Linked DNA regions of Cricetulus griseus. The main gene of each other region encodes a partner of the protein of the gene in region 2 in a complex. Links are inferred from orthologs where the notes say so. Each region holds a gene or a part of one and is shown on either strand. Other genes may lie near its edges. The genes, in order: Thoc5, Thoc2, Ddx39b, Sarnp, Thoc3, Thoc7 and Alyref.

Region 1 (4,414 bases), on a different chromosome or scaffold from region 2:
AAAAGGGCTAGAGAGATGGCTCAGCAGTTAAGAGCACTGGCTACTCTTCCAGAGGTCCCAGATTCAATTACCAGCACCCACATGACAGCTTACAACTGTCTATAACTCCAGTTCAAGTTCCATCACCCTCATACATGCAGGCAAAACACCAATGTACATAAAATTTTTAAAAAGAAATCATTTTTAAAAAGAGAAAAAAAGAAGTGCTAATGAAAGAGCTGATTCTTATGAAAGACAAACCAGATAGCCAAAATCTTAACCAAACTAACCAAAAGAGAGAGAGAGATCTGTTACTGAATGTTTTCTGTCACACCAGGCCCAATGGATCTAAACTAATTGACATTAGAAATAAAAATAGCCCTGGCAGTGGTGGTTCACGCCTTTAATCGCAGCACTTCGGAGTCAGAGGCAGTCAGATCAGCTTGGTCTACAGAGAAAGTTCCAGGACAGCCTCTAAAGCTACACAGGGAAACCCTATCACCAAAAACCAAAAAGAAAAAAGGAAAAAGAAAAAAGAAAGATAGATGTCACATGGATTCTAATGAAATTCAGAGGCTTATTAGGGGGCACACTAAAAGAGAGAAAGGATTTCCCAGAGTCAGGGATAGGAAAGATGGCTCAACAGTTCAGTTAAGAGCATGTACCGTTTTGCAGTAGACCTGCATTCAGTTCCCACACTGGATACCTCACAACCATCATAATAAAAATAAATAAAGCTGCTGGGCATTGGTGGCACACACCTTTAATCCCAGCACTCGGGAGGCAGAGGCAGAGGCAGAGGCAGGCAGATCTCTGTGAGTTCCAGGTCAGCCTGTCAGATGGGAGTTCCAGGACAACCTCTAAAACAATACACAGAAACCCTGTCTCAAAAAATAAATAAATAAATCTTTAAGGTTTTCCAGAATTAAGCTGGGCATGATAGTCCATACCTTTAATCTCAGCAGTCAGGAGATCTCTGTGAGTTTGAGGCCAGCCTGGTCTACATTGCAAATGAAAGGGCAGCCATGCTACTTGGAGATACTGTCTCAAACAAACAAAAGAGATTTTCCAGAATTCAACCTAGAGACCTTCCTGCCTCAGCCTCACCAGTAATCAGATTATAGGTATGGGTGATCATGCTGTGCTATCCCCTTCCAATTAAAAACTTATTTTTGGCTAGGTGTGATGGTAAACACCTTAATCCCAGCACTGGGGCAGGAGGGGGGGACGGCAAAGGCAGGTGGATTTTTGTGAGATTGAGGACAGCTTGGTCTACATACCAAGACACTGTCTTAAAAAACAAAAATCACACAAAATTTTGATTGCTTCAAGTACATCTAGTTTCCTACTTTGTTGTTAACAAGTGCCAAGGTTCTTGGAAGAAATGGATTCTTGCCTGGGCGTGATGGCACACACTTTTAATCCCAGGGCTCGGGAGGCAGAGGCAGATGGATCTCTGTGAGTTCCAGGCCAGTCTGGTTTACAGAGAGAGTTCCAGGATAGGCTCCAAAGCAACAGAGAAACCCTGTCTTAAAAAACAAAACAAAACAAAAAACCAAACAAACAAACAAAACACAAAGGAAATGAATTCTCTCTCAGAGCCTTAGACAGGGAAACCAAGACAGAATTTATCAATAGTCATGTTTTCATTACATTATACATATTATGCAATTCTACCATTATCATAAGACAAATGCAACCAGTTTCCTGTTTATGATACACAGACCTCAAGTTTTCTACCAAAGTAAGTTTAAGTTTAAAAAGTGACTGTGAAGTTGAGAATGCAATTCAGCTGGTAGAGTGTGTGTGCCTAACACACTCAAAGACATTGAACTCCTGGACCTTATAAAACTGTGGTGGGACATGCCTGAAATAATAACACTATGGAGGTAGAGGATGGAAGATGAGAAGTTCTAGATCAATCATCCTTTGCTACATAAGTGGCTTACAGGTCAGCATAGACTACATAATAAAATCCTGTCTCCAAGGAAAAAATGGAGGGAGGATGGACTGAGACAGGGTGGTACACATCAGTAACCACACTTGAGTGAGTTACTGAGGCAGAAGGATCTTTGCGAATGTGAAGCCAGCAGGGGGAGCTACCGGCCAGAATAAACTATAGAGACTGCATTCAAATTCTTCATTAACAGGGCAGGTGGCACCTCTTCTTACTGACCAGGCCTTTGCAGTATAACTTTAAAAAAAAAAAATCTTGTTTTTTTTCTTAAAAGTAACATAAGTAAAATATTTAGTGAAACAACTAAACTAAATCAGGCCAGCTAGATAGGAAACAGGGGACATTTGAAAGAAAAGCCATGCTTCCCTCCCCTCCTGACATCCACACTTCACGCTCTCAGCCTTTTCGCTCCAACAATAAATGCACGAATTTTCTTTCACTACGACTCCTTGGAGTCTTCTGCGGCGCGTTAAGTGAAGAGAGAGCCGGCCTCTAGCGGCTGTGAATGACAGTTAATCAAGTGGCGGGCTCCTCTGACAAAAGCCACAAAAGTGGCAGCGAAAAACCTGGGAAATCCCAAACGTCACACGGGAGAGTTTCACACACACACAAAAGGACCATAAGCACGGTGTTGTCACTACCACAGCCATCAGCACCCTACGGAGGCTAAAGGATGCTGCTCCGGTTAGGTCCCAGGAGGGGGAAAACAGCCACGAGCCCTGAGGGAACCCAGCAAGTGAGGACCCCAGCCCTGGAAATACGCGGCGTGTCCTCAGCACCTCAGACCCCGTGCGCCTCGCGCCGACCAGCAACCCCAGCTCGCAACACTACCCTCGCTCACCACAATGGTCCTCACGCCTTCCAGCCAGGCAGCCACTTCCGGATCACGACCATAGAGAAGCGGAAGAAAAGAGCTACTGGCCGGAAGTGAAACACAAAGGCCTGATGCAGCTTGGGAAGCAAGGAAGGGGCGTGTACGCGGCGTGGCTGCTTTTCTGATCGACCCTCCAAAACTGGAAAACTGCGGCGATGAGGACCTAGAGCCTGTGCTCCATTCCTCACCAGCGCAAGCGCAGTGGGCTCTCTGCCGAGTCACTTGAATTCATGGCATGCTCAAAAAGCACTAGAGTGTCGCTGTGCCGTAGCTGGGACCCTAGGTGGATTTGCCTCCTGACTGTGTGCGAGACTGGCTCTCATTATATAGCACTGGCTGGCCCTTGAACGCTGTGTACATCAGGCTGATCTCTAACTCATTCAGGCCCGCCTGTCCCGACCCCACTGCAATTAAAGGCTTTAACTTGAATTCTTAACACTGTCAGAATCACTACACCAAAGGCGGCACTTAATTAGGCAGGTATAATTCCATATTACGCCCATTCCCCCTTCACACAAGTGCGTCACTGTTTCTCCATGTTAAGCTTGATTTTTCATGACAAAAATCGCTGCCTTAATGCAGTATTTGAAAACCTCAGGTAATTCTGAAGTGAATCCTACTTGTTTGGGGGCTTGAAACATGCATGGAATATCTGGTTATGCAGAAATAGTTCCTTCTCTTCCCCTGGGGTGAAGATAATGTCTTCTCTGAGAGATCAGGGGCACAGTACCCCCCAGCCAACTGGACACTGCCCTGCCTTATACAACTGCAGATGAAGACACCACAATTTACAGTAAATATTTAATTTGGTTCCATCAACTATCCCAGTACATTTCCCTGGTATGGTAGCAAAACCATGCTAGGCAGGGGCTCATGAGGTATGAGGGTCATTGAGGAGACCCCAGAATCACTGAACCCACTCCACAGGCCTGGTGGTTCTGCAAAACGAGGGTATGTTAACAGAATGTCAAATTGGGGAAGAAGGAAATCAAGATGAGAATATAGGTCGCAGCCTGTATTCTTGCCTGTAGGAAGGAGGAAGTGCAGAAGAGCTAGAACACATATTCAAGTTTTAACTGAATCATGTAGGAAAAAAGGGCTAAGCCTCTCCATCTGTCTTAGGGTCCTCTTCCTAGCATCTTCCATTATCTCTATCTTCCAATTCTGTGTTTCAAACCAAGCTGAGTCCTATGTTCCAGCTTCTCCTAGGTTCCTGCTTCAAGTCTGTCTCATATACCCAAGTCCTCCTCCCTTCCATCCTTTCCCAGCCCCTCTGAGTGAATTCTGGGTCTCCTCCAGACTTTGATGACTTCAGAGTTTACAGCTGTTCCAGGTTTTTAAGGCTCAGACTTGCATTTTAATGAACAGAGACCAGGGAGTTCCCGGAGGCCATACCTGGTCTGGTATCTCTTCACACCCCACCTCTTAACAACTAGTCATGCCGTCTGTTAGGAAACTAAGCCATGTCCAAAGTGTTAGCTGGGGACTTGGCCTGGAGACGAGAAGCCTTGGGGAAATGTGGGAATGCTTAAAATGTTGCTATTCTTCATTAGGGAAATTAGAAATTCTTCTGGCCTGGGAGAGAGGTGGGACAGGTATAGACA
Region 2 (3,819 bases):
CTCACAAAGATCCACCTGCCTCTGCCTCCCCCTCCTGACTGTTGGGATTTAAGACATGTGTAACCACGCCCAGGTGGAATAGCATGATCTTGTTTTTTGGGGGGGGTTTCTTTTTTTTTGTTTTTTTGTTTTTTTGTTTTTTTGTTTTTTTTTTGGTTTTTTGAGACAGGGTTTCTCTGTATAGCTTTGGAGCCTATCCTGGCACTCGCTCTGGAGACCAGGCTGACCTCGAACTCACTGAGATCCGCCTGCCTCTGCCTCCTGGGTGCTGGGATTAAAGGCATGCGCCACCAACGCCGGACCTTTATTGTGTTGTTTTTTTGTTTTGCTTTTTTGTTTTTTTTGAATAGCATGATCTTAAGAGCGAAATTCTTGACCTTGAATCCTAGCTCTACTTACTCCTAACTATATGATCTTTTACAAGATAGTTAACCTCTCTGTGCCTCAGTCTTCTTATCTATAAAAGGGGCCCACTTTATAAGATTGATCTGAGGGTTAAATGTGTCACTATATATAAAAACCCCATGTAGCTAGGTGGTGGGGATGCATACCTTTTTTTCCCAGCACTCAGGAAGCAGAGGCAGGAGGATCTCTGTGAGTTGGAAGCCAGCCAGCCTGATCTACAGAGTTTGTTCCAGGACACCGAGGGCTACACAGCAAAACTCTGTCTTGAACACCCCCCCCCCACCAAAAAAAACAACTCCCCATGAGATGGTATCTATTGCATTCAAGGTTAACCCATTGACTCAGGATTTTTATAATCTTGTATCTTTATAAGTAGGTTTCTCTACTCTTAACTTTCACTCCTCAAAACATAACTAAAGAAAACCTTCAACTTACACATTCACACCGCATAAAAGCCGGAAAGCATTTTAGTGTTGTTGTATTCACAGATTTTTCATCTGGCTTTTTTCTCATTACTGCATTTGTGGGTTAGAAATATGTGTTATATCATGTGTGCTGCTTGTTTCTAAATGTTATCACCTTTGCTACAAATTCTTTTCCAAAGACCATCTCTCACCTTTCTCACATAGACCCATATTTTAGTCCAAGTTACTTCTGCTTTAGTAACGATGGTGATGAGATTAAAACCAGCAGTGGTGGCGTTTGGATGTGAAATATCCCCATAGGTTCATATATTTAAATACTTTGTCCTCACCTGGGGGCACTCTTTGGGAAGGTTGTTGGACCTTTGTGAACTAGATATTTGCTGGAAGAAATGGGTCACTAGGGGTAGGCCTTGCTTTTGCGTACTGTCTATTCAGTCTCAGTCACAAATGGCTAAGTCTTCAAGAAGCTATTTAATAATAATAATAATAATAATAATAATAATAATAATAATAGCCTTTTCTTCTATCATTATCAACCAAATTTCTTCATAAAACTTTACTTGGATGCATTGTGATTGCTGTTTCTCCACAGAATCTACAGTCACCAAAGATCTCTGTAGTTGTGAATATAAAAGGAGAAAGTATAGTTTTTACGAAATTTAATGATTATTGTTATTTCCTATAATAATAGTCTTTTAATAGTTTTAGTCTGATAATCTTTTTCAAACATTTTTTCCTCCAGGTTTTTTCTGACATAATTTACACGGTCGCAAGCTGTACTGAAAATGAAGCTAGTCGATACGGGAGGTTCCTCTGCTGCATGTTAGAGACAGTGACCAGGTGGCACAGTGACAGAGCCACATATGAAAAGGTATGCGATTGGTAAATGTGTTAGAGACAGTGACAGAGCCACATATGAAAAGGTATGCGATTGGTAAATGTGTTAGAGACAGTGACCAGGTGGCACAGTGACAGAGCCACATATGAAAAGGTATGCGATTGGTAAATGTGTTAGAGACAGTGACCAGGTGGCACAGTGACAGAGCCACATATGAAAAGGTATGCGATTGGTAAATGTGTTCGTCTTTTACCTGTGTGGATATTGATTGCTTCAGATTGGTCAATTTTAAAACAATTTAAGATTCAGCTATAAAATGATCTTAAAACCACAATTAATATATTATTAAAAAGAGGAATTTTTTAATTGTATCTCAACTTGACATTTGAAGCTGTTACCACTGGATAATCTGAACCTTTCTTTTATAGCTGGTTACTTATCTGGTCTCACTCTCCTATTTTGTGGGATAAATTAAACTTCTAAAAATGAGAAACTTATTTTTTCTTAGGAATGTGGAAACTATCCAGGATTCCTTACCATATTGCGGGCAACTGGATTTGATGGTGGAAATAAAGCTGATCAATTAGATTATGAAAATTTTCGACATGTTGTACATAAGTGGCATTACAAACTAACCAAGGTAAAAACAAGTGGACATTTTTGAAAGGTAATTTTTTTCTCTTCATTCCTGTATTTTATGATAACAGATCTTTAAATGTCTGTTATAGGCATCGGTGCATTGCCTTGAGACAGGCGAATATACTCATATCAGGAATATATTGATTGTGCTAACAAAAATACTTCCTTGGTACCCAAAAGTTTTGAATCTGGGTCAGGCTTTGGAAAGAAGAGTGAATAAAATATGCCAAGAAGAAAAAGAGAAGAGGCCAGATCTATATGCATTGGCTATGGGGTAACACAATTATACTTTAATGTGATTTATGAGACTAGATTACAGAAGGATTCTGAAGATGTGAAAATGTTTTACAATGTTGAAGTCTTATCTTCTGCTTTACTTCAGGAGATTATGGGAGATTATGCGATCATGTTCCCACAGGCTGGTGAGAGTTGTCACTTCTGATTATCAACTTCCGGTCTATACTGGATGATAGTTTCAAAGGCCACATATAATATTTCTTGAAATGGAAAAATGCAATTTTGTCGTAGTTACTATATCTTGAGGAGCAAAAAGGGGGAAAAAGGCTCTCTAGTTAAAGAACTAGTTTATTTTGAAAGAATGACTTAAGTTTTTAGAACACTATAGACCTTGAAGAATATACTAAAAAGCAGTAGTTTATTTTCTAGAACCAAGTAGCAGAGTGAATAATTTATTCTAAACTCCATATTTGTGTTTTTTGATTTGTGTATGTGTATTTAAACGCTTTGTGCGACTTTCAGCTACTGGGGGATGTTGAAATGTAGAAAGTCACACATGATACCTGAAAATGAATTTCATCACAAAGATCCTCCTCCAAGAAATGCTGTTGCCAGTGTACAAAATGGGCCTGGTGGTGGGACTTCATCATCATCCCTAGGAAGTGCATCTAAATCGGATGAGAGTGGTACTGAGGAGACTGGTATGCTTATTTGTAGACACTTATCAATAATATATTGAAATAGTTTATCACATGATAACTACAATGCAAGCCCCAGATTGCTTTTTAATCCCTAGTTACGAGTATGTAACTGTTAAGAAATAATCAGCTTCCTAAGTCTTCTAATTATCCACTAATCATTTTGCTGTGAATTCATAGTTTATGTTTACAGTTTGCTAACAAAAGTCTTGTTTTTATTTCAGATAAACCAAGGGAGAGATCTCAGTGTGGTACAAAAGCTGTGAATAAGGCTTCTAGTACCACACCAAAAGGGAATTCAAGCAATGGAAATAGTGGTTCTAACAGGTAAGAACATTATGCCAAGTGTCACAAGTCTAAATTCCTGTCGTGTGTGTGTGTGTGTGTGTGTGTGTGTGTGTGTGTGTGTGTGTGTGTGTGTGTGTGTGTGTGTGTGTGTGTGTGTGTGTGTGTGTGTCTGTAGGGAGGTGTATATGCACATTTGTATGTATGTAGGTAGTGGTGTGTACTTGCCACAATGTGCGCAGAGGTATAACCTCAGCTATTACTCCACACCTATTCCTTGTTTGAAATTGGA
Region 3 (3,973 bases), on a different chromosome or scaffold from region 2:
TGCAAACACAAGCCTTGATTTGCACGACTTTGCTGTGTTGGTGCAAACATCCTTTGCAGGCTGTAAAGTAGAAGTTTGACTCAGTTGGGGGGCTCAACGGGGATAAACCTCACTATGTTACTCTCCTCAGTGCTACTACGTTAGGTTCAATAAAAGGCCTCTCCCGAGGGGTGTTTCCTGGCCTTTTAGGAACAACAGGAAGAAAGAGGTGGCCTAGAGCCTGCCGTCTGGCTTACTACAAGAGTTCCTGGGAACTTCAAAGCCATAGGCCCCTGGAGCTAAAGCATTTCCTACTTTACCAGGGGCCGAGGAATCCCCACCTACTCCTAGGCGGTGGGAGGGGGGCGGCTGTCAGATGCTGAGGGTTGCGGACGAGGGTGCCAACTTAACAGCTGAGTAAAGTGTGCTAACAGGGGAAGCTCGCGCTTATAGTCGGCAGGACATCGCTCCTCGTGTATGCAGCATCTCAAAGAAGGGAGAACCACGTGTTTAGAGGGGGAAGAAGGCCCAGGCTGAACAATGGAGCCGCTGTGGTGGGACTAAGAGCACTCTGCCCTAATTAATAACCATGGAGCCGCGCGTTGGTGGCGCACGCGTTAATCCCCGCACTAGGGAGGCAGAGGCAGGCGGATCTCTGTGAGTTCGAGGCCAGCCTGGTCTCCAGAGCGAGCGCCAGGACAGGCTCCAAAGCCGCACGGAGAAACCCTGTCTCGAGAAAACCGATGATAACGACAACAACTATGGAAAGCTGCGAAGCCCTCAAACGCACCGTTTATTTTGTTAACGCGCGGGCAGAATGCAAACCTCCATCTCCTAAGTGGCCGCCTTGCCGCCGCCATTTGGGGCAGCTCCGCTCGTTCCCAGCGCAGCCGCGAAGGGCGTGCCCGCCCCCCCACCTCCCCCGGCCCCGGGAGCCTGACTGAGCTCGGCACCCTCAGGTCACCTTGGGTGCCAGGCTAAGGGCGCCGTGAGGACGCGTCCCGCTCGGCACGCAGACTCCGCGGTGCCCGAGGGCAGCCTGCGGGGAAAGGACGAAGGACGCCGCGGTGAGGGGGCGGGGAGGTGCGAGCCCGCGTCGCGCTCCGGTCACCGGCGGCGGCGGCGGCGGAGTCGGAAGACCTTTTCCGAAGGCACCCCCGAGCGGGCGCGGCCGGAGCCTCCAGGACCGCCGGCTTCCGGCTGCCGACTTCCGGTTTCCGGCATCGCGCGCCTGCGCCCTGGCGGCCGGGAAGGCGGCAGGCCGGGGGGGAAAAGCGCCCGGGACCGGAAGTGAAGGCAGGTTCCCGCCTGCGTCCCCGCCGCCGCCGCCATACGCGCTCGCAGTGCTTAGGTAAGCTGGGGCCTTGCGCGCCATCCGCCGCCATCCGCTCCGGCCCCGCCGCGCCCGCGCGCGCGCCCCTGATACCCGTCGCCCGGGCGGCGGCCTGGCCGCTGCGGCTCGGTCGGGCGCGCGGTGCCGTCGTTTTCGTCCCTTTCTGAGCGAACCTCGGTGGGGAGCGGGGAGACGGGGGCGACGATCCAAAATGGAGGCCCGGGCCGCCATTGTGTCCCCCGCTTCCTGGGTGGCCCGTGGGTCCCCTTCCCGCGCGGGCCGCAGCGGCCGGAGGCGGCGCTGGCGGGAGGGCGGGCCCGGCGCGGCCCGCGGCGGGGACGAGCAGCCGCCAGGGCCTCTGCTTGCCCGCTGCGGCGTCGGCGCTCCCGGAATGCTCACCTTCGGGGAGGAGCGAGGCTGGGGCGCGCCAGACGCTGTCAAGGCCGCTTGGCACCAAGTCCCAGCCTGAGGGTTGCATTTCCCCAGCTGAGAGCCTGCGGCTTTGAAAGCCCACCCTTGTGGCGAGCGCCTCGCGCGTGGCCGGGCAGGCATTAAAATGTAACTGTCTGCGCTGCCGGCTTCTGGCGTTGTTTGCCTGCTTTTTGGCCTTGAGCCCCTGGCGCCCCTGCTCCCGCGGTTAGGTGCAGCGGGCCCGCCTCCCCGCCCTCCGTCCTTCAGCTCCTGCTCCCCCAGGACTGGGGTCCCAGGTGAGCGCCTCCAGCGCGGCACGCAGGTGCCGCTGGACAGGGGAGTAAGTAGCAGCCACGTGATGTTTGCAATGGGAAGTGAGCGCTCCGCGCAGTGCTGACCTTCATCTATCACCCTTGACTGATGGCTGCTGGGGGGACCAACACCGTGGGGCCACAGGGAGAGCGCAGTCTGAGGTCCCCTCCTGTCCCACGCATTGTCACCCTCCCGCGGGTGGCTTCGGGCTCATCTTTTCACGGTCTCGGGAGTTGCTCCTCTTGGGTCAAAGTGCGAGCCCAAGTCTGTCCAGCAGTCACACCCGAGACCACTCTCCATTTTTTCTCGCCCGGTGTTCGTTTTCTCTTACTTTTCTTCCAGGGCAGAGGTTTGTAGTTGAGGGAGAACACGAAGAAAGTGAGGGTGGGCGAGAAGTCCCTACGTGACTGATGAGCTCTTCTTTTTTTTTTTTTTTTTGTTCTCTCTCCCAGCTCTTCTGTCGGGAAACTGGTGTCTCTTCCCTTGCTGTTCCTCAGCCCCCTCTCTCCCCCTTGCTTTCTCACCTTCTCTGGGACCACTCACCCAAAGACCTCCCTTCTCCCCTGCCGGCCCAATTATGGCAGAGAATGATGTGGACAATGAGCTCTTGGACTATGAAGACGACGAGGTGGAGACAGCAGCAGGTGGAGATGGGACGGAAGCTCCTGCCAAGAAAGACGTGAAGGGCTCCTACGTCTCCATCCACAGCTCCGGCTTTCGAGACTTCCTGCTCAAGCCAGAGTTGCTCCGGGCCATCGTGGACTGTGGCTTTGAGCATCCATCAGAGGGTACATTTTATTGTTGGGCATAGGGACCTCATGATGCATCTTAAAGATGGGATTTGTGTTTAGGGTATATAGGCCAGGCAATGAGAATGTACCCAGATGTTAGCGCTAGAAGATGCTTGTTAGCTTTGATCACACAGGATGCTGTTTGTCCTGTGCCCAGGTTTTCTTGTTTGCTTGATCGTCTTTCTGACTGTTTGGCTGGAGTTTTACATCCAGTATTTTGGGCCAGGCCACCTGGGGTCTTAATGATTGCTCTAAAGTTGCTGGCTTCTGGGGCAAGTACCAAGTCCTTCATTTTGTCCAAGGTTATAGAATGCCAGGCACATGGAAGGTAAGCTGTTGGTAGGTGCAAGAGGGTTTGCGCCAGGGAAACCTGAAGCTAGGATGCAGTTGAGACTTGATTTGGGTGTAAATGTGACTAAGGGGACAGAGAGGATGGGTCAGTCTGAAAAGTGACAGGGACCAGGCAAAATCTGGAGAATCAACTCGAGGAAAGGGGTTTGGTATGGTGCATAAAGTCTCTCTCTTTCTCCCCTTTTTCCTTCTAGTCCAGCATGAATGCATCCCACAGGCCATTCTGGGGATGGATGTCCTGTGCCAGGCCAAGTCAGGCATGGGGAAGACAGCAGTGTTTGTCCTGGCCACACTGCAGCAGCTGGAGCCAATCACTGGGCAGGTGTGTTTGAGGCAGTGCTGCAGAGGGCTTTGAGGCCGATACACTGAAGGCTGTTTGTGGCTACATAATGCTTACAGCAGCAAGGCTTACTGTTTTAAACCTCAGATTTGATGTCACAAATAACTTGACAGATGCTGCTGTTGACAGTCACTCTGGAGAGAGGGTGACAAAGGACTGATAGGGTGTTGTCTCCATTTGTTCCCTTGAAGGTGTCTGTGCTGGTGATGTGTCACACTAGGGAGTTGGCTTTTCAGATCAGCAAGGAATACGAGCGCTTCTCAAAGTACATGCCGAATGTCAAGGTAAGGGTGAGGCGCTTGGGACAGCGGAGGTCCTGGGAGCTTGTGGGGTAACAGTTGACTGTCCTGAGGCATGGAGCCGCTGTAATTGATGAGTTCCTGAAGGCTGCATAGGAGCCTTTAGTACAGTGACAGGCTCTTCTGATCCACAAAGTCAGTTCAGGGGCCCTGGGCT
Region 4 (3,819 bases), on a different chromosome or scaffold from region 2:
AGAGATCCTGCTTTGCCTCCTGAGTGCTGGGATTAAAGGCATGCACCGCCGCAGCAGCCGCCACCACCACCAAAACCTACTTTCTATTTTGTCTTCTTTTCTTCCACTGTAAATCATAAACCATAGAAGGTAAACTTACATGAGATACAGCTTCTGCCTCCTTATACAGTTTCGCACTTTTCTACAAAAGCAAGTTTTCTGTCCAAGTATAAAATTCTACGCGTAAGGTTTTACAGGACTGGACATGGTAAAGCATGCCTTTAATCCCAGCTCTCTGGAGGCAGAGGCTGGTACTAAAAGGTTTTATAGAAATTTATACTGCACAGGGAATCATAGATTCTAATCAAATAATCCATTATGGTGGCACACAAAGGAACAAAGGCTAGGAGAACAGAACTGTGCCTGTACTAAAGCTAACCTGGTTCTAATTACAGAGACTTAATCTGACTTAAAAAATGGGAAAAACCCATTTTCTTCACTGGAGACATACTTAAATCAGGGAGACCTTTCTAGAAATGCCTGACCTTATCAGAAACGAAAAGGTCAGGGGGAATGTGTAACAAATAAACAGAATGAAACTTTAAAGCAGTATTTTTTTTTTTAATATACTAAGTGTTTAGTTGGTAAATGCTGCCACACAAGCCCAAGGAACCGAGTCCAAGCTCCAGTCGCCCTGTGAAAAAGACAGGTGTGGAGCTGGTGCCTAAGAACTCAGCACTGGGAGATAAAGGCAGGAGATCCCTGGGGCTCACTAGCCAGTCGCTCTGCTCAAATGGGTGAGCTCCATGCCAGTAAGAGACCTGGTCTCAAAGATTAGGTGGAGTCAGGCGCACACTTGTAGTCCCAGAACTCAGGAGGCAGGGGCTGACAGATCTCTGTGAGTTCGGGGCAGCCAGGACTACATAGTGAGACCTTGCCTCCAAAAAACAAAAACAACAACAACAACAACAAAAAGAAAACTAAGGTGGAGAGTGATTAAGGAAGACACATCATATTCCACACATATATTTCACATTAGCACACCCAAAAATACAACTATCTGCTCTTATTTAGACTATTAAAAAGGGCTGGGTGTGGTGGTACATGACTTTAGTCCCAGCACCTGGGAGACAGAGGCAGGTGGATCTCTGAGCGTTCCAGGACAGCCTAAGAGAGTTCCAAGATAGCCAGGGCTACACAGAGCAACCATGTCTCTTGCATGCCCCTATCCCACCCTCCAAAAAAGGAAGAAAAAAACAGATTATTAAAAAGGAATAATTACACATCAACAGCTTTTTCAGGAGGTTCTTCCTCTTTAACAGGAAGTTCTATAGGCTTTGGTTCTTCTTCCTAAAAACAAAATGAAACAACATGGTTAACATAAATCTAGAATATCCATTAAGAGCCAGCACCTGGGAGGCAGAAGCAGGCGGATTTCTGTGAGTTCCAAGCCAACCTGGACTACACAGTAAGACCCTGTGAAGAAACAATAATAATAATAATCAACTTTAAGCTGGATAGTGGTAGCACACACCTTTAATCCCAGCACTCAGGAAGCAGAGGCAGATGGATCTCTGTGAGTTAAGAGGCCAGCCTAGTCTACAAAGCAAGTTACGGACAGCCAAGGCTACACAGAGAAACCCTGTCTCAAAAAAACAAAAAAGCAAACAAACAAAAAACAGTAACAAAAATATCCATTTTTTTAAAAAAAGATAAATTGGGCATGGCAGTACTTAAGAGGCAAAAATAGAAAGAAAAAGAAGTTTAGGTTATCCTCAGCCACACAGTGAATCTGAGACCAGCCTGGACTATGAGATGCTAGCTCAAAAACATTAATTAAATTTTATCAGGAAAGTAAAAGAATATCCATCAAGAGACAACCTAAGAACTCCAAAATGAACCAGTCTTTGATTTCTTTTAAGCACTTAAAAAGTCAAAGGACTGACAATAAACAATCTAGCCAAAGCAATGACACATTATCAAGCCACTGACTAACCTTTCCCAACTCACCTCAGTTTCATCTCCCAGTACATCTTCTTCATTTGCTTCCTCTTCAGCTACAGAACATTAAAATATTCAGGTCAAACCCTGCTATAAAACCATCTTGATCACTGTGATAAGAGTAAAATTACAACCTCTTTACTTTCCCAAAATTATATTCAACAATAATGGCAGAACCATTCCTTACAAAGTAAGTCACATTTAGAGAAGATAAAACCAGATCTCTATTAAATGTTAGTATAAAACTGAATTCCATCTGAACTGAATAAATGCAATTAGGCTGTACTTAAGTCTCACTATAAAATTAATTTAAAAACTAATTAGGGGGGTTGGAGAGATGGCTCAGCGGTTAAGAGCACTGACTGTTCTTCTAGAGGTCCTGAGTTCAATTCCCAGCAACCACATGGTGGCTCACAACCACCTTGAATGAGATCTGGTGCCCTCTGCTGGCCTGCAGGCAGAAGACTGTATAGACTGTATACAATAATAAATAAAATCTTAAAAAAAAAAAAAAAAAACTAATTAGGACAGGGTATGGTGGTGCATGCCCTGTAATCCCAGCATTTGGAAGAGCATTTGGGAAGATAGAGGCAACACAATCAGTAAACTCAAAACCATTTGAAGCTACAGAGGCCAGCTTGGGCTATATAACATCTTGTCTCAAAAACGCAGCAAAAAAGGTGCGTGCGTGCATGCATGTGTAAAGATAACACAGTTCAATTCCCAGAACCCACATAAAAATTCAAGTATGGTGCTGGAGGACCATTGTAACCCCAGACCTGGGGAGCCAAGCAGAACTAGATTCTAGTGACAGAGCCTGAGTAAAATGACGAGGTGGACGGCTCCTAAGAGCAATACTCAGGGTTGATCTCTAGTGAGTGAGAAGCAGAGAGAGCAAGAGAGAAAAAGAAAAAATGTGTTACAGAATAACCAAGAAAATACCTTTGAAAATGGTGGAAGACTAGAAAGATGCCTCAGCCACTAGTGACCAACAAGCAACTCCACTACCTGTAACCTCAGCACCAAGGAATTTGACACCTTCTACTGGCCTCCTCAGACACCCAAACACATGTACATTCTCTCTCCATGTACATTCTCTCTCTGTGTGTCTGTGTCTGTCTGTCTGTCTGTCTGTCTGTCTCTCTCTCTCTCTCTCTCTTTCTCTCTCTCTCTCTCTCTCTCTCTCTCTCTCTCTCTCTCTCTCACACTCTCACACACACACACACACACACACAGGTGGTGAAAAAATTATTTTCAAAACTACGTACTTCTACTAAAGAACACCAAGGGGAAAAAACATAAAAGACCAATGACAGAGATATTTGTGTTTAAAACCAACAAGGTAGCCCCATGCCTGCAATTCTAGCACTTGTGGGCAAAAACAAACCCACAGAATCAGGAACAAAGAAAGTTTAAGAGAGACATTTAAACTTTCCTCATGGAGAAAAGTATATTAAGACCAACAAATTAGCAAAACTAGGCCACTTGATAGGATAATGCCAAATACAGGTTTGTGTAAATAAAAGAACCCTGAGTGGGCTGAAGAGACGGCTTAGTGGTTAAGGTTTGGTTTCCAGCACTCATATGACCACTCACAAACCATCCATCTTTATTTTAACTCCAGTTCTCCTTCTTCTGGCCTCCTCAGACACTAGGCACATACACGGTACATTAATATATACGGGCACACACCCCTACAAATGAAATAAAAATATCTTTTCTTTTAATTCACTTAATTTTTTTTGAAGCATATGGGTGTTTTACCAGCATGTATGTTTGTGTACATGTGTATAGTGCCCTCGGGGGCCAAAAGAGGCATCATCCCTCAGGACTGGAGTT
Region 5 (4,583 bases), on a different chromosome or scaffold from region 2:
TACTAAGCCCCTGGGCCAGCTATCTGATAATTAAGTGAACATTTACAATCAATATCAGTAAGAACTCAATAAAATGCAGAATATCTGGCTCAAATGTGCCCCTAAAAAAAACTAGGATTTTTAAATACTTTTTCTTTCAAGTCTTCTAGGTTAGGCTCACACTTAACTCATCTATGTACCTGACATAGCACCCAGTACAGAGGTACAACAGTCCCTCTAGCCAGAAGCCCCTCACCTGAGAATGTTGATACAACCGTTGCCATTGGTCAGGAAGAACATGTTATTGTCGTTATTCCAGGAGATTTCATTGACCTCAAACTTGAACTGCTCTTCCGCTTTGGAACGGTGTGTCTTGGCATCGATAAAGGTGACAACATCATCCTTGTTGCCCACAGCAATGGTCTGCCCATCGGGACTCCAGCAGATATTAATGTTCTCCCCTGGGAACCCAGACACAAGCCATCAGCAAGATCATCCTTGCCCATCCTCCTCCAGAAGCTTATTCTGCTACCCTAGAAAGAAGATCAGAGCTCTCTTCAGTGCTCAAATCACCAAGACAATGGAAGAAAGCTGCTGCTGGCAGCTAACATTTGTCCAAAAGTACCACGTCACACCACTCCCAGAAACCAGTCTTGTCATCTAAGTCCAGGAGTCGTCCACACTGCACACAACTTCATGGAATCAAAAATGCCATTTTTCTTTCACACTTTACTATCTATAGTGCATTTAAAAATCTATCAGAATTTGTTTCGGAGCAGGGTGGTGGTGGCACACACCTTTCACTCCAGCACTCAGGAGGCAAAGGCAGAGAGAGTTGGATCTCTGAGTGGATAGCCTGGTCTACAGAGAGAGCTCTAGAACACCCAGGTCTACACAGAGAAACCCTGTCTCAAAAAAAAACAAAGCAAAAATGCTTTGTTTAAAAATAAATAAATAAACAAAAACATTTTTGTTGTGGGGCTGAAGAGATGGTTCGGCACTTAAGAGCACTTGTTGTTTTCCAGGAGACCCAAGTTAAATCACCAGCACCCACAGTTCACAACCATTTGTAACTACATTTATAGGGGATAAGATGCTTTCTTCTGGCACCTGCATACATGAGGCACACATACTTGAAAATAAAAAAAAAAATCTAAAATAAAAAATAAAAAGAATTAAAAAAAAAAAGAAAAAGAAAAAAATCTGGGGCTGGGGAGATGGCTCATCGGTTAAGAGCACTGACTGATCTTCCAGAAGACTTGGGTTCAATTCCCAGCACCCACATGGCAGCTCATACTGTCTGTAACTCCAAGATCTGACACTCTCACACAGACATATATGCTGGCAAAATACCAATGCAAATAAAAGTAAATAAATTATTTGAAAAAAATTAAAAATCTAAAAACAACAAAAATGTTTCTTAAAAGATTGTAGATGACCTCTTAGAGTCAATTATGCTAGACTCAAGATTTACAGGGTATTATATAACAAGAAAACAGCGTTTGAATGTGATGTACAACTTTCCAATCATTTCTTGGAAACCAAGATCATCCAGGTTTCAGCCATTCTAACCTGCCAGAATCTCCTAAATCCTCTATGCCTTCACACACACTACTCCTCTTTGTATTGTTTCCACCGCTCTGACCAGTAACTACTACAGATGATCAAAAAACGTGCTCAAATTCTACTCTTCCTTGTCTCCTCCAGACGGACATGTATACATCATCCTGATAACCCACTCTGTGGCACTAGCTGCAAAGAACACGGTCAACAGTTTCTGGAAACTATAATTAGCTTTTCTACCTAAGGCTCCTCTCTCTCTGAAGTTACCTTTAGTATTCACAGTGGCGATGCACTTTGTAGTCCTCACGTCCCAGATGCGAATGGTTTTATCTCCAGATGCGGTGACAAAGAGGTCAGGGTTGCTTGGGTGCCAGCAGAGCTGATCCACACTATCTCCGTGGCCCCGGTAGTTGTTTTCTTTGACCTTAAAAGAGCAGAATCCAGGTGTCACTTCACACAGATGCACCTGCCTCCACACGCAACTTAACTTTTATCCAAACGGTGGTACCCTGAAACCGGCAAAGATGTGGACGATCCAAAAGAATCCAGTCCTTTCCAGAACTTCAGCCCCTGTGAATTGTTCTGAGCTTGGACACTGGCTCTTCTCTTGCCCTTCCTGCCCTCCCCTCTTCCACCACCATCATCATCCCAATCCAACGGTCCATTCCCAAAGGAGGCGCTATCGTTTCCAAATAAAACCTCTCGACCCCGTGGGGATGCCAGCACTCCCCGCCCAGGGCTGCTCTAGACCCTGACCACTGCAGGCCACCTGACTGCACCTCTCCGTCCCGCAGCCCCTTCGCCACCGCCTAACTGCCACCAGGTTCCCGCTCCGCGCTCCTCCGGGCGGCCTCGCCCGCTCACCGCACCACCAACGACGGTGCCCACACCACGTCCGCCTCTTCCCGGCCGGGCCGGGCCCTACAAGCTCACCAGCCGGTCCTTCTCCAGCAGGAACACGCTGGCCGTCTTGTCGAAGGACCCCGAGGCCAAGCGACGGCCGTCGCAGCTCCAGGCCACCGAGTGCACCTTGGCACTGTGCGCCGGGAACTCGCGCGTCTTGCTGTGGCCTCGGAACAGCTCCTGCATCCCGAGCACGTAGCGAGACGGGCCGCTGCTCATAGAGCACCAGGGCGCCATCGAGCCGGGGCCGCTCTGGCTGACCGGCGGGGGCCCCAGGATCGACGTGGGCGCCGCCATGCCTCCGTCTCGCTCCCTCGCTCTCTCTCTCAGTAAGGACCGCGTACCGGCGGCTACAGACACCGGGCCCGGCGCCGCTGCGGCGCGCATGCGCCGGGAGCAGCGCGCATGCACCAGGAACGCCGCCGCGTCACTCTGCGCAGGCGCGCGTGTCTCACTGGCGCCCCTCCCCCCAAGGGACTGCAAATCCCGCCATGCAACGCGTGTCCGCCTCTAACGTTTGGAAGTAGCATTTTGGAAGAGTTCGACTTTTTTAATGGTCTTCTAACCCGTTTCTTGATAGTCTCGCTTATTCGAAGAAGAGAACCAAGATAAAGCCTCCAGTTTACTTACCAGTAGAATATCTTTTTTTTTCCCCTCGAGACAGGGTTTCTCTGTGTAGTCCTGGCTGCCCGGGAACTCACTCTGTAGACCAGGCTGGCCTCGAACTCGGATTCTCCTGCTCCTGCTTCCCCAGTGGGGACATTAAAGGCGTGCACCACCACTGCCAGGACAAAAATACCCTTTTCAATAGAGCTGTTTTTTCACTACAAGGCCCTCTTCCCTCCCTTAAAGCAGAAGGCCACAGCAAAGGAGAAAGGTTAGCTGTTTGTGGAAATAAGGAGTTGGTTAATGAGAGTGTGGATTTGTTGGTTTGGGTTGGGCAAGGTTGCTTGGTTGGTTTGGGGGTTTTGTTTTGTCTTTTGATCCTAGTTTTTAGAATATATTGCATATGTATGATAGCAATTTTTTTCTTTTTCTTTTCTTTTTTTTTTTTGGTTTTTGGAGGCAGGGTTTCTCTGTGGCTTTGAAGATAGTAAATTTTTAAGAAGAGTGAAAAGTAAAGTGACCACTTGTGTATGCTACATTCACATCTCAGCGCCTCCCACTTCTTACATCTCTCTTAGACAAAAGATATTCAGCTGGAAAAACATCAATGGTGAGCTCCAGGATGAGCTAAGGCGCTGTACAAGAGCTCTGAGCTCGGGATAGGGGGCCCTGAAGGAATATGTTCAACATATAATGTATACTTGTGTGAAAATGTCTGTATGAAGCCAGCTGTGGTGTCGAAGGCTTGTAACCCCAGCACTGGGGACGCAGAGGCAAGCAGGCATTTTTGGAAACTGTGAAGATTTTATACAAAAAAGTGTCAGTGAAATCAATGAAGTCTTTTGGGTACAAATCTATTTGCTAATTTTCCCTCCTTACATTTCTTTTTCAAATATTTCATATGATTGCATATTTTTACCATGCACTGAGAACTTATACCTCCTGTGTTAGAGGCAAAGTGGCCTACCCCAAGTTACAAGACTAACATGGCAAAGCAAAGTATTCTTTTTGTTTCGTTGATTTTTTTGAGAAAGGGTTTCTCTGTGTGGCCCCGGCTGTCCTGGAACTCAGTCTGTAGACCAGGCTGGCCCCGAACTCAGATCTTCATGCTTCTGCCTCCCCAATGCTGGGATTAAAGGTGTGTGCCACCACTAGCCTAGTGGGGCTTTCTGCTTAAACAACAGTAGGTTGTGAGACAAGTTAGCAGGAATATAATCACAGGTGTTTTGTTCACAAGTGAAAAACCGCCTTTCAGGCAAAGGAATATGGCCATCCCATAGAGGATAGCCTCAGTATGGGAACAGTTCATTTGTCCCTTGGGGAAGTCCTGTGGGGCACGTGGTTTTGTATTTTAGCACAGGTCATTTGGATGTACTATAACAGAGAGTGTGGGGTGTGGTTTTGTGTTTTAGCACATGTCATTTGGATGTACTGTAACACGGGGAGAGTGGGGTTCTATTGCACCTACTGCTTTGTCTTTGGAAGCCCTTCCCCGACTCTAAGGATCTTTAGAATTGATTGAAGGGCTGCCC
Region 6 (3,819 bases), on a different chromosome or scaffold from region 2:
GCTCCAAAGCTACACAGAGAAACCCTGTATCCCGTCTCGAGAAAAAAAAAAAAAAGAAAGAAAGAAAGAATGCCAATTCTGATGGCAGAGTTTCACTTTTCTTTGAAGGGAAAAAAAAAAGACATTTTTAGTTGTGGCAAGATGCAAAAATAATTTACCAATTTTACCTTCTTGCTTCTAAGTAGCAGCTCAGCCAATGGCATTAAATATACTTATATTTCAGTAATTTTCTTTTGAATGAGTAGTAGTACTGGTTGTCTTGAGAATTACACTGAACCAAATGTTCATTTAATTCTCACTTACCTTTTTTCCTGCAGACGAAGTCATACGGAAGCGTCTTCTGATTGATGGAGATGGTGCCGGGGATGACCGGAGAATTAATCTCCTTGTGAAAAGCTTCATCAAATGGTGCAACTCTGGATCCCAAGAGGAGGGGTACTTTCCCCATGCCATTTCTGTACCAGTGTCTGTCCTGGGGGAGTCTTCTCAAGGCCGTGCCATACAACTCTGTTGACTTTCTCTGTCCACTTCGTGATTGATCAGAAATGTTCTTTTTCTTGACCTTTTCTTTGGAGGCCTCCTTTGTGTCTGTATAATGCAGAAAGCACAGCAGTGAAGGAAGAAATAAAGATTGAGCTCAGGCTAAATAATTTAATTACTTTTAACAAATCAGTATTTGTTTAGTATCTCTAAATGAAGATTTCTCTTTTGTTAATAATAAGTTGCTGCAAAATGATTACATATTAATTTTATGAAGTTTTTTATGGATTTACTTTCTGCTTAAATGATTGTATTGTATAGAATAGGAAAGTGGTGAGAACAGAATTCTGAAGAAAACTCTTAATCAGATATTGTTATGGGTAGTTTAATTCAGACACACATAGACTATTGATGAGAACAGTAGCCTCACTAACCTTGCCTTTCTAACCAGAGAAGTTTTACACCATATCTAGCAAAGAAAGTAGTAAGAGTGGGTGTTCTAAGCTATTTCATATAAAACAAATAATTATCAGAACTTGGTTTCCTTTAGTTTACATTTTTTTATTCTCTCCCTTTTTCATAGATATAGCCAGTACCAGCGTATGCTGAGCACCCTGTCCCAGTGTGAGTTTTCAATGGGCAAGACTTTGCTGGTGTATGATATGAATCTCAGAGAAATGGAGAATTATGAAAAAATATACAAAGAAATAGGTAAATAATGTTTGTATAATTGTATTTGTGGTTTGAAGGAAAAGCTATTTGGTAATATCGGTATTATAGTAGAATTGCATCATATTTACAGTGGTAATGTCAGCAACCACAGTGCTGTGTAATAAGATGGAACACTTGTGTTGTAGAACATCAATGTCTTGTGTTTAAAAGTACAGATTATACATGTTATTATAATTACCTTTTAAAAACTACTTTTTTTGTATAGAATGTAGTATTGCCGGAGCACATGAAAAAATTGCTGAATGTAAAAAGCAAATTCTTCAAGCAAAACGAATACGAAAAAATCGACAAGGTAAGAATGATATGAAGGACTTTGTGGAGATATTTTATTCCCAACTATAATTTCAGTGCAGTTTTTAATTGTGAAAGGTATAATCTGTACTGTGAATCAGTTTATAAAAAATAACTAGAAATTATATTTAATTCTTAAAACTCTGTTACTTAAAGACAGCAAGGTAGGCTGGAAAAGATTTTATTTTGTTGAATTTTATTGGTTACCCAGTATTTCTCAGATTTTTTTTCCTATCTTCAGATGCTTTCCCCTAAGCAGTGTTACAGTTAATCTGTAGAGGTGAGCTATATGACAGAGGTGTTTATTACAGTTATATGACAGACTGAGCTGTTTATTTTCCCGTTTAATGAAGCTACTTTCAAAACATGGAAAAGAGCAAACATTATCTACAAAATTACCTAGTAGAAAAATTAAAGTTTAGGGGATAGCAAGTTGACACAGTGGGCAAAAGCACTTGCCACCAAGTGTGACTGTGACTGCCTGAGTTTGAGCCCCAAGACCTACAAGGTCAAATGAGCGAACTGAGTCTCTCGCTGTGCCGCACAACTCCCACGCATATAAAACACCAAAGTAACATAACATCATTTTTTATTTGAATTAGAAACAAGATTGTTTTACATGATAATCCCAGTTCCCTTCTCCCTCCTGTCTTCCCCTACAACCCCTCCCCCAACTAAAACCTTACCTATCACATATCCTTTCTGCTCCCCCTGGATGGTGAGGCCTTCCATAGGGTGTCATCAGTGTCTATCATATCCTTTGGGATAGGGCCTAGGCCCACCCCAGTGTGTCTTGGCTCAGGGAGTATTCCTCTATGTGGAATGGGCTCCCAAAGTCCACACCTATGCTAGGGATAAATACTGAACTACTACAGGAGGTCCTGTAGATTTCTGAGGTTTCCTCACTGAAACCCATGTTACTGGGGTCTGGATCAGTCCCATGCTGGTATCCCAGCTATCAGTCTGGGGACCAAAAGTTCCCTGATGTTCAGGTCAGCTGTTTCTGTGGGTTTCACCAGCCTGGTCTGGACCCCTTTGCTCTTCACTCGTCCTTCTCTGCAACTGGATTCCAGTTCAGTTCAATGATTAGTTGTGGGTATCTGCTTCTACTTCCACCAGCTGCTGGATGAGGGCTATCTGGTGGCATATAGGTCAGTCATCAATCTCATTATCAGGGGAGGGCATTTAAGGTAGCCTCTCCTGTTGCTTAGATTGTTAGCTGGTGGCATCTTTGTAGATCTCCAGACATTTCCCTAGTGCCTGATTTCTCTCTAAACCTAAAATGTTTCCCTCTATTATGGTATCTCCATTCTAATCTTCTATTCTTCGCCTGACTCAACCTTTCTGCTCCCTCATGCCCTCTGTATCCCTCCTCTTCCCTTCTCATTCTCCTAGCTCCCTCCCCCCCCCTTCCCGTGATCCCAGTTTGCTCATGGGATCTTGACATTTTCCCCTTCTCCAGGGGACCATGTATGTCTCTCTTATGGTCCTCCTTGTTTACTAGCTTCTCTGGCAGTGTGGAGTGTAGGCTGGTAATCCTTTACTCTATGTCTAAAATCCGCATATGAGTGAGTAATACCATGTTTGACTTTTTGTGATTGGGTCACCTCACTCAGAATGGTTTCTTCTATTCCATCCATTTTCTTGCAAACTTCAAGATTTCATTGTTTTTTTCCACTGGGTAGTACTCCATTGTGTAAATGTTACCACATTTTCTCTATCCATTCTTGGTTGAGGGGCATCTAGGCTGCTTCCAGTTTCTGGCTATTACAAATAGTGATTCTCTGAACATCGTTGAACAGATGTCCTTGTTGTATGAATGTGCTTCTTTTGGGTATATGCCTAAGAGTGAAATTGCTAGATCTTGTGGTAGACTGATTCCCATTTTCATGAGGAGTTGCCATACTGATTTCCAAAGTGTCTGTACAAGTTGGCACTCCCACCAGCAGTGGAGAAGTGTTCCCCTTTCTCCACATCCTCTCCAGCATAAAATAAAATCATTTTTAGAGATAGAATAAAGTTTAGTTTTATTCTAATCTCTTTTAAAGTTAGGATTGCCTTCATCTGGTTCATAAAATATTTGAAAATAATTTTAATATTTTATATGTGTCTATGTATACATGAGTGCAGGTGCCTTTGGAGGCCAGGAGTGGCCATCTTATCTCTGGAGTTGAGGCAGTTTTGAGTGCTGGGAACTGAATTTGGGTTCTATAAAAATGCAGTATATACTCAACTGTTGAGCCAGTTAAAGATTTATTTATTTATTTATTTTTTTATTTATTATGTATACAACATTCTGCTTCCATGTATTATATC
Region 7 (4,576 bases), on a different chromosome or scaffold from region 2:
ATGCCTGGAAAACAAGAATAGTAAGAAGTATTTAGAACAGAGAGCTGAGAGTCCTGAGATGTCAAGAATGGCTCAAACCCCAATAACAAGACATTTGGGGAAAGATGCTGGAACGAGGATGCTAGAGCAGCTTTGTGAGACACGGGGCTTAAGTTGCTCATAGTTTATAAGCATCAACTTAAAGTATGGAAACTGCTGTCTGAACTTCAGTGTGCTGGGCAGGGGTATCCTCATTTGTTCTGCTTTGCTTGGAGAAAATTCAAACTGGAAGTAGCATTTTGAGGAATTAAGAGAATGACCAATCATCACAATGTATCCCAGGCAAGCTTCAAACTCAAGCCTCCTCTTGCCTCTGTCTGTGCCACCATGCCTTGGCAAAAACAAAAGTGTTGTTTTTGTTTATTTGCTTTTCTTTGTTTTTACAGACAGACTCTCATTATGTAGCCTCCAACTCAGAGGCTACCTGTTTCTGCTCCCAAATGCTGGTATTACAGATGTTTGCCACCATGCTGGATAGGGTCTTTATACAAAAGTGAGTTTGAAGAATTCGTTTATTTTCTGTCAACTTTCCTTCAGGAAATGGAAAGTAAAACCCACGGTTTTATTTTCTGGTTTTCTTAGTTTTTCGAGACAGGGTTTCTCAGCGTAGCCCTAGCTGTCCTGGAATCTCGGAGATCCTCCTGCCTCTGCCTCCCTAGTGCTGGGAAACCCAAGGTTTTCAAGGCTGGTGGAGCTGGCCGAAGTTCTGAGAGCACGGGGGAGGGGGGGCACTTACAGTCTGGACAGCAGCCATTAAACGCCATCCTGCAGATGCCACAGTTCTCATCGTTGGCTACCCAGAGCCACGTGGCCACACCATTCCAGCACTTAATCTTCACCTTCATGGCAGCAGAGCGTGCGACCTGAGGGAAGAGGGTTTCCTGGCTAAAGTTACTCTGTATTACTACCACAGACGGCACTTGAGCATTTAAGGCGGGGAGCTGCGTGCTAGGCGCCTCCAGGGAGCCAGGCTCCCAAGTTGTTTTGCTATGTTGAAGGTCGTTTTTAGAGCTGTGCACCCAGGTAGCGGGCCAGGCTGGCTCACGCCTTTAACCTCAGCGCCGCGGAGGCAGATCCGCCCAAAACCAAAGGAGGAAAACAAAAACAAAAACCACTGCATCCATGAAAAACACCTCGGTTTTCACTCACAACCCGCGCGTGACAAGCCATCAGCTTGCTAAATTTAAATAAAATTAAATTTTAAAAAACCATCCCTTCGAGCCCACAAACCCCAAATCGGATCCACAGATCGGCCCCCCGCCTCGCAGCTCAGGGACTCGGCGGGCGGACGGACCGAACTCGATCCGGCGCCTTCCGGCCTGCGCAGGGCGGATCCCAGGCCAGGCCCCGCCCACGCCTCGCCCACTCCACCTAATCTCGCGGCGCCCCGCCCTTCCGTTGCAGGAGCGCGGGAGGTATAAAAACGACCGCGCCGCGCCGGGCGCCACACACTCGCGCGGGCCGTCCTCCTGAGCGCAGCGCAGGCGCCCTCCGCTCTCCGCGCGCGCCGAGGCCAATCAGGGGCAGCTTCGGGGGCCGCGACGCCGGAAGACCAGGGGAAGCTCCGGAAGTGACCTAGCGACGTGCTGACGCGCGGGCTCGATCTGAGGCCCGATTCCGCGCCCGCCATGGCCGACAAAATGGACATGTCTTTGGACGATATTATCAAGCTGAACCGGAGCCAGCGAGGCGGCCGCGGCGGAGGCAGGGGCCGTGGCAGGGCCGGCGCCCAGGGCGGCCGCGGCGGGGCGGTGCAGGCGGCCGCGCGGGTGAACCGAGGCGGCGGGCCTCTGAGGAACCGGCCCGCCATCTCTCGCGGCGCCGCCGCCGGCGGCAGGAACCGGCCGGCTCCTTACAGCAGGGTGAGCACGGGAGGCGCGGCGCCGGCGGGGCGGGCTCCCGGCGCCCTGAGGCGGGCGGGCGGGCGTCCTGCGGGAACCGCGGGAACGGAACGGAACGGAGGGTGGGCGGGGGCGACGCCGCGCGGTGAGCGAGGCCCCGGTCACAGGCCGGGATCTTCCGGGACGCTTTGTCCGGTCCGGTCCCGCCTCGTGGCGGCGGAGCGGCGGGCGTGGGGGTCGTCTCCTCCGGGCTCTCGGGCCGCCGTGAGAGAGAGAGTGTGAGTGCCGGGGAGGGATCGGGGCGCCCGAGACGAGGTCGCTCACGAACCTCTCTTTCCCTTCAGCCGAAACAACTTCCAGACAAATGGCAGCACGATCTGTTCGACAGCGGCTTCGGGGGTGGAGCCGGCGTGGAGACCGGCGGAAAACTGTTGGTGTCAAACCTTGACTTTGGAGTGTCAGACGCAGATATTCAGGTAAGAGACCAGAGCCGTCCGCATGCTTATCCCCACACACAGAATCCCTTCTGATCAGAGCCTGTGCTCCCCCAGGCTGCCCAAGGGCCAGCCGCTGCCCTCACAAAAAGTAGTATCCCCTGGGGTTTGAATGTGACTGATAGGTCAGGCTGCTTGGAAGGCAGCCTGGTGTGCCCCCAGAGTGGCTCTTGTCTGCTAACGTCACGAGCACCTGCCGTCTGCAAGGCTTACAGTTTCTAACGGGCACAGACTGGCCACAAGTCCGGTCCCTGTGTGACCGAGGGTGCTAGCTTCTCAGGCTTTGTGCCTGTAGTAGTAAGCTTATGAGAAGGAAAACTCTCCCCACCCCCACATGTCTGAAGGCACAGGGGTGAATGGTGGCTGTGTGTCTTCCAGACTGACCTTTCCTGGGTCTTACCAGGGGCATTGTTCTCATACCTTTGGTTGAAGTCTTTTTTTCTGTCTGTCTGTCTGTCTGTCTGTCTGTCTCTCTCTCCCCCCCCCCCCATCTCTATCCTCTCTCCCTCTCTCTGTCTTTCTTCTGGCCCTCAAATGCAATTAGAGTTAACAGAGCAGGTTTTTAGGAGTTAGTTTTGGGTCATGGGTGCTGGGCCTTTCTGGGTTCCCTTTCTCAGAGCCCCGCCATTTGGCCTTGTCAGGGAGCATAGAGCAAGGCCAGTGAGCACTCACAGTGTCTCCACACTTTTTTTAAGGTGGTTTCTGGCATCCACTGGAAACCGCTTTTGGTGAACTTCACTTCCCGCTGTGTGCCTGCGGCCGAAGTAGCCCCACACTCTGGGTTCCCTCTCCAACTCCCAGCCTGCCTGAGGTCAGGGCAGTCTCCATGGCGCATTTGACTTCAGACTTTGCAGCAGGCTTGAGTAGGAGGAGAGGGAAAGGTGAGCCAGAATCTGCCTTTGGGGGAGGGGCTTGGGTCACAGCTCCCCAAATCAGTGGGCCCTTTGAGCTGTCTGCTCTATGAACAGCTTCCCTTGGTTTTTCTCTTGGCCTTTGCTATCTGATGAAACAGCCATTAGTCAGGTTGTGAGTGCCCTTGCTGAGAGAGAGGTAGTTTCTGTGTGCTTCCTTCACCTGCATCATGGTACAGTCACACACGTCCCAACGTGGACAGGAACCCAGGTGCTCAAAGTGACACCCTTCCCTCACCTCTTGATTGCCTCTGCCCCGCCCCTTTTCTGGGTGGTGGTCAGTAAAGTAGCACCCAGGAACCCTCACAGCTACTGAACTGAGCCTCTAGAGGGAAAACAGCTTAACTGCTTGGCTAACAGTTGCCCTGTCCACTTCCAGGAACTCTTCGCAGAGTTTGGAACGTTGAAGAAAGCAGCCGTGCACTACGATCGCTCTGGCCGAAGTTTAGGGACAGCAGATGTGCACTTTGAACGGAAGGCAGATGCCCTGAAGGCTATGAAACAGTACAATGGTGTCCCTTTAGATGGTGAGTATATGGGGCTGGGCCCAGGATGCCTGGGGCTTACGGAGTTTGGGGCTGGCACCTCTCCCTGTAGGAATATGGGCTGCCCCTGTGGCTGAGGACACTTTGCATTTGCCCCTTTGTCTCTCTCTTCCATTCTGCCACCTCTCATGCTGCCCCACACATCTGGACCAACCTCTTGTGAACCCCCATCCAGCAAGCTACATCCCTCCCCTCCTTCAGCTCCTTCCGGAAGATTCACTTCTGTGAAGCCTTCTCAGAACCGCCATAGTACAACCTGAGTGCGGGGCTGTAGTCGTAAAGACAAAGGTACCTGTTCTTCTTCCGTCAGGCTACCCACACCTGTCCACCCATGAGCACCCTGGACACCTGACCAAACAGCCCTCTTAGCCTGAACTGAGAAGGAGTGAGGAGGTGTTGGTGGGGTGTTATTGCCACTTTATTTTCCCACCAGGCTCTCTAGGCCTTGTACCTTGTTGGGGGCATTGGAGACACACAAAGGCCCTTTCTAGAGCTTGCATGGAGACCAGGGTGTGGTGCCTTCTGGGTCAGCTTCAGAGCCTCTGGAGTGAGACTTGTTGTATTCTTTACCATAGGCCGTCCCATGAACATTCAACTCGTCACATCACAAATTGATACACAGAGAAGACCTGCACAAAGGTAAGTGCTAGGGCCCTTGGGGATGGGGAAAGGCCTGTGGTTTGTGATAGATAATGCCACCTACAAGGCCTTTGCAGACAGATGGCAGCATTCTGTTTTTCTTTGTT

The links.
Region 1: Thoc2 (region 2) and Thoc5 share a complex: the UniProt entries of both Homo sapiens proteins name them as parts of the transcription/export (TREX) complex. The link is inferred for Cricetulus griseus from reciprocal best matches to the Homo sapiens genes THOC2 and THOC5.
Region 3: the proteins of Thoc2 (region 2) and Ddx39b are in contact, whole or in part, in a cryo-EM structure (PDB 7APK), measured with the Homo sapiens proteins. The link is inferred for Cricetulus griseus from reciprocal best matches to the Homo sapiens genes THOC2 and DDX39B. Residues at the interface, in NP_001075019.1 of Homo sapiens: Lys550, Tyr551, Met553, Lys554, Arg555, Leu556, Thr557, Lys558, Glu559, Tyr582, Gln586, Lys589, Tyr590, Asp591, Asn592, Leu593, Pro596; in NP_004631.1 of Homo sapiens: Leu282, Asp283, Val284, Leu285, Glu286, Phe287, Asn288, Gln310, Asn311, Phe312, Pro313, Asp335, Phe336, Gln337, Arg338, Arg339, Arg355, Ile420, Ile424, Glu425.
Region 4: Thoc2 (region 2) and Sarnp share a complex: the UniProt entries of both Homo sapiens proteins name them as parts of the transcription/export (TREX) complex. The link is inferred for Cricetulus griseus from reciprocal best matches to the Homo sapiens genes THOC2 and SARNP.
Region 5: the proteins of Thoc2 (region 2) and Thoc3 are in contact, whole or in part, in a cryo-EM structure (PDB 7ZNL), measured with the Homo sapiens proteins. The link is inferred for Cricetulus griseus from reciprocal best matches to the Homo sapiens genes THOC2 and THOC3. Residues at the interface, in NP_001075019.1 of Homo sapiens: Tyr395, Arg396, Pro401, Lys402, Gly403, Ala404, Lys405, Gly406, Ser407, Pro446, Ile447, Ala450, Arg454, Cys500, Asn501, Ala502, Cys503, Met504, Glu506, Pro563, Arg566, Gln567, Lys570, His573, Tyr603, Leu604, Thr605; in NP_115737.1 of Homo sapiens: Asp193, Met196, Ile208, Val217, Gln218, Asn221, Ala222, Pro224, Ser225, Ala244, Asp245, Ala246, Leu247, Ser249, Trp251, Asp252, Asp254, Glu255, Leu256, Val257, Cys258, Val259, Cys261, Ser263, Leu265, Asp266, Pro268.
Region 6: Thoc2 (region 2) and Thoc7 share a complex: the UniProt entries of both Homo sapiens proteins name them as parts of the transcription/export (TREX) complex. The link is inferred for Cricetulus griseus from reciprocal best matches to the Homo sapiens genes THOC2 and THOC7.
Region 7: Thoc2 (region 2) and Alyref share a complex: the UniProt entries of both Homo sapiens proteins name them as parts of the transcription/export (TREX) complex. The link is inferred for Cricetulus griseus from reciprocal best matches to the Homo sapiens genes THOC2 and ALYREF.

What each region holds. Positions count from the first base shown.
Region 1 is NW_023276807.1:100,003,734-100,008,147, forward strand, and holds the start of Thoc5 (THO complex subunit 5 homolog), read right to left. Parts: upstream 2,927-4,414; 5' UTR 2,778-2,926; intron 2,759-2,777; exon of another isoform or gene 2,716-2,758; intron 1-2,715. UniProt on the Homo sapiens protein: Component of the THO subcomplex of the TREX complex which is thought to couple mRNA transcription, processing and nuclear export, and which specifically associates with spliced mRNA and not with unspliced pre-mRNA.
Region 2 is NC_048604.1:26,151,954-26,155,772, forward strand, and holds part of Thoc2 (THO complex subunit 2), read left to right. Parts: intron 1-1,572; coding exon 1,573-1,701; intron 1,702-2,176; coding exon 2,177-2,308; intron 2,309-2,396; coding exon 2,397-2,581; intron 2,582-3,066; coding exon 3,067-3,245; intron 3,246-3,466; coding exon 3,467-3,569; intron 3,570-3,819. UniProt on the Homo sapiens protein: Component of the THO subcomplex of the TREX complex which is thought to couple mRNA transcription, processing and nuclear export, and which specifically associates with spliced mRNA and not with unspliced pre-mRNA.
Region 3 is NW_023276806.1:231,768,492-231,772,464, forward strand, and holds the start of Ddx39b (spliceosome RNA helicase DDX39B), read left to right. Parts: upstream 1-1,173; 5' UTR 1,174-1,330; intron 1,331-1,996; exon of another isoform or gene 1,997-2,019; intron 2,020-2,073; exon of another isoform or gene 2,074-2,149; intron 2,150-2,487; 5' UTR 2,488-2,612; coding exon 2,613-2,823; intron 2,824-3,371; coding exon 3,372-3,499; intron 3,500-3,708; coding exon 3,709-3,801; intron 3,802-3,973. UniProt on the Homo sapiens protein: Involved in nuclear export of spliced and unspliced mRNA. Component of the TREX complex which is thought to couple mRNA transcription, processing and nuclear export, and specifically associates with spliced mRNA and not with unspliced pre-mRNA.
Region 4 is NW_023276806.1:129,078,140-129,081,958, forward strand, and holds part of Sarnp (SAP domain-containing ribonucleoprotein), read right to left. Parts: intron 2,037-3,819; coding exon 1,990-2,036; intron 1,330-1,989; coding exon 1,262-1,329; intron 1-1,261. UniProt on the Homo sapiens protein: Binds both single-stranded and double-stranded DNA with higher affinity for the single-stranded form. Specifically binds to scaffold/matrix attachment region DNA. Also binds single-stranded RNA. Enhances RNA unwinding activity of DDX39A.
Region 5 is NC_048596.1:273,511,514-273,516,096, forward strand, and holds the start of Thoc3 (THO complex subunit 3), read right to left. Parts: upstream 2,832-4,583; 5' UTR 2,743-2,831; coding exon 2,476-2,742; intron 1,967-2,475; coding exon 1,810-1,966; intron 441-1,809; coding exon 236-440; intron 1-235. UniProt on the Homo sapiens protein: Component of the THO subcomplex of the TREX complex which is thought to couple mRNA transcription, processing and nuclear export, and which specifically associates with spliced mRNA and not with unspliced pre-mRNA.
Region 6 is NW_023276807.1:171,869,812-171,873,630, reverse strand, and holds part of Thoc7 (THO complex subunit 7 homolog), read left to right. Parts: intron 1-311; exon of another isoform or gene 312-317; coding exon 318-435; intron 436-1,063; coding exon 1,064-1,191; intron 1,192-1,417; coding exon 1,418-1,504; intron 1,505-3,819. UniProt on the Homo sapiens protein: Component of the THO subcomplex of the TREX complex which is thought to couple mRNA transcription, processing and nuclear export, and which specifically associates with spliced mRNA and not with unspliced pre-mRNA.
Region 7 is NC_048600.1:133,090,866-133,095,441, reverse strand, and holds the start of Alyref (THO complex subunit 4), read left to right. Parts: upstream 1-1,629; 5' UTR 1,630-1,667; coding exon 1,668-1,901; intron 1,902-2,224; coding exon 2,225-2,356; intron 2,357-3,664; coding exon 3,665-3,812; intron 3,813-4,405; coding exon 4,406-4,469; intron 4,470-4,576. Other genes in the region: Anapc11 (anaphase-promoting complex subunit 11), read right to left, coding at 776-884. UniProt on the Homo sapiens protein: Functions as an mRNA export adapter; component of the transcription/export (TREX) complex which is thought to couple mRNA transcription, processing and nuclear export, and specifically associates with spliced mRNA and not with unspliced pre-mRNA.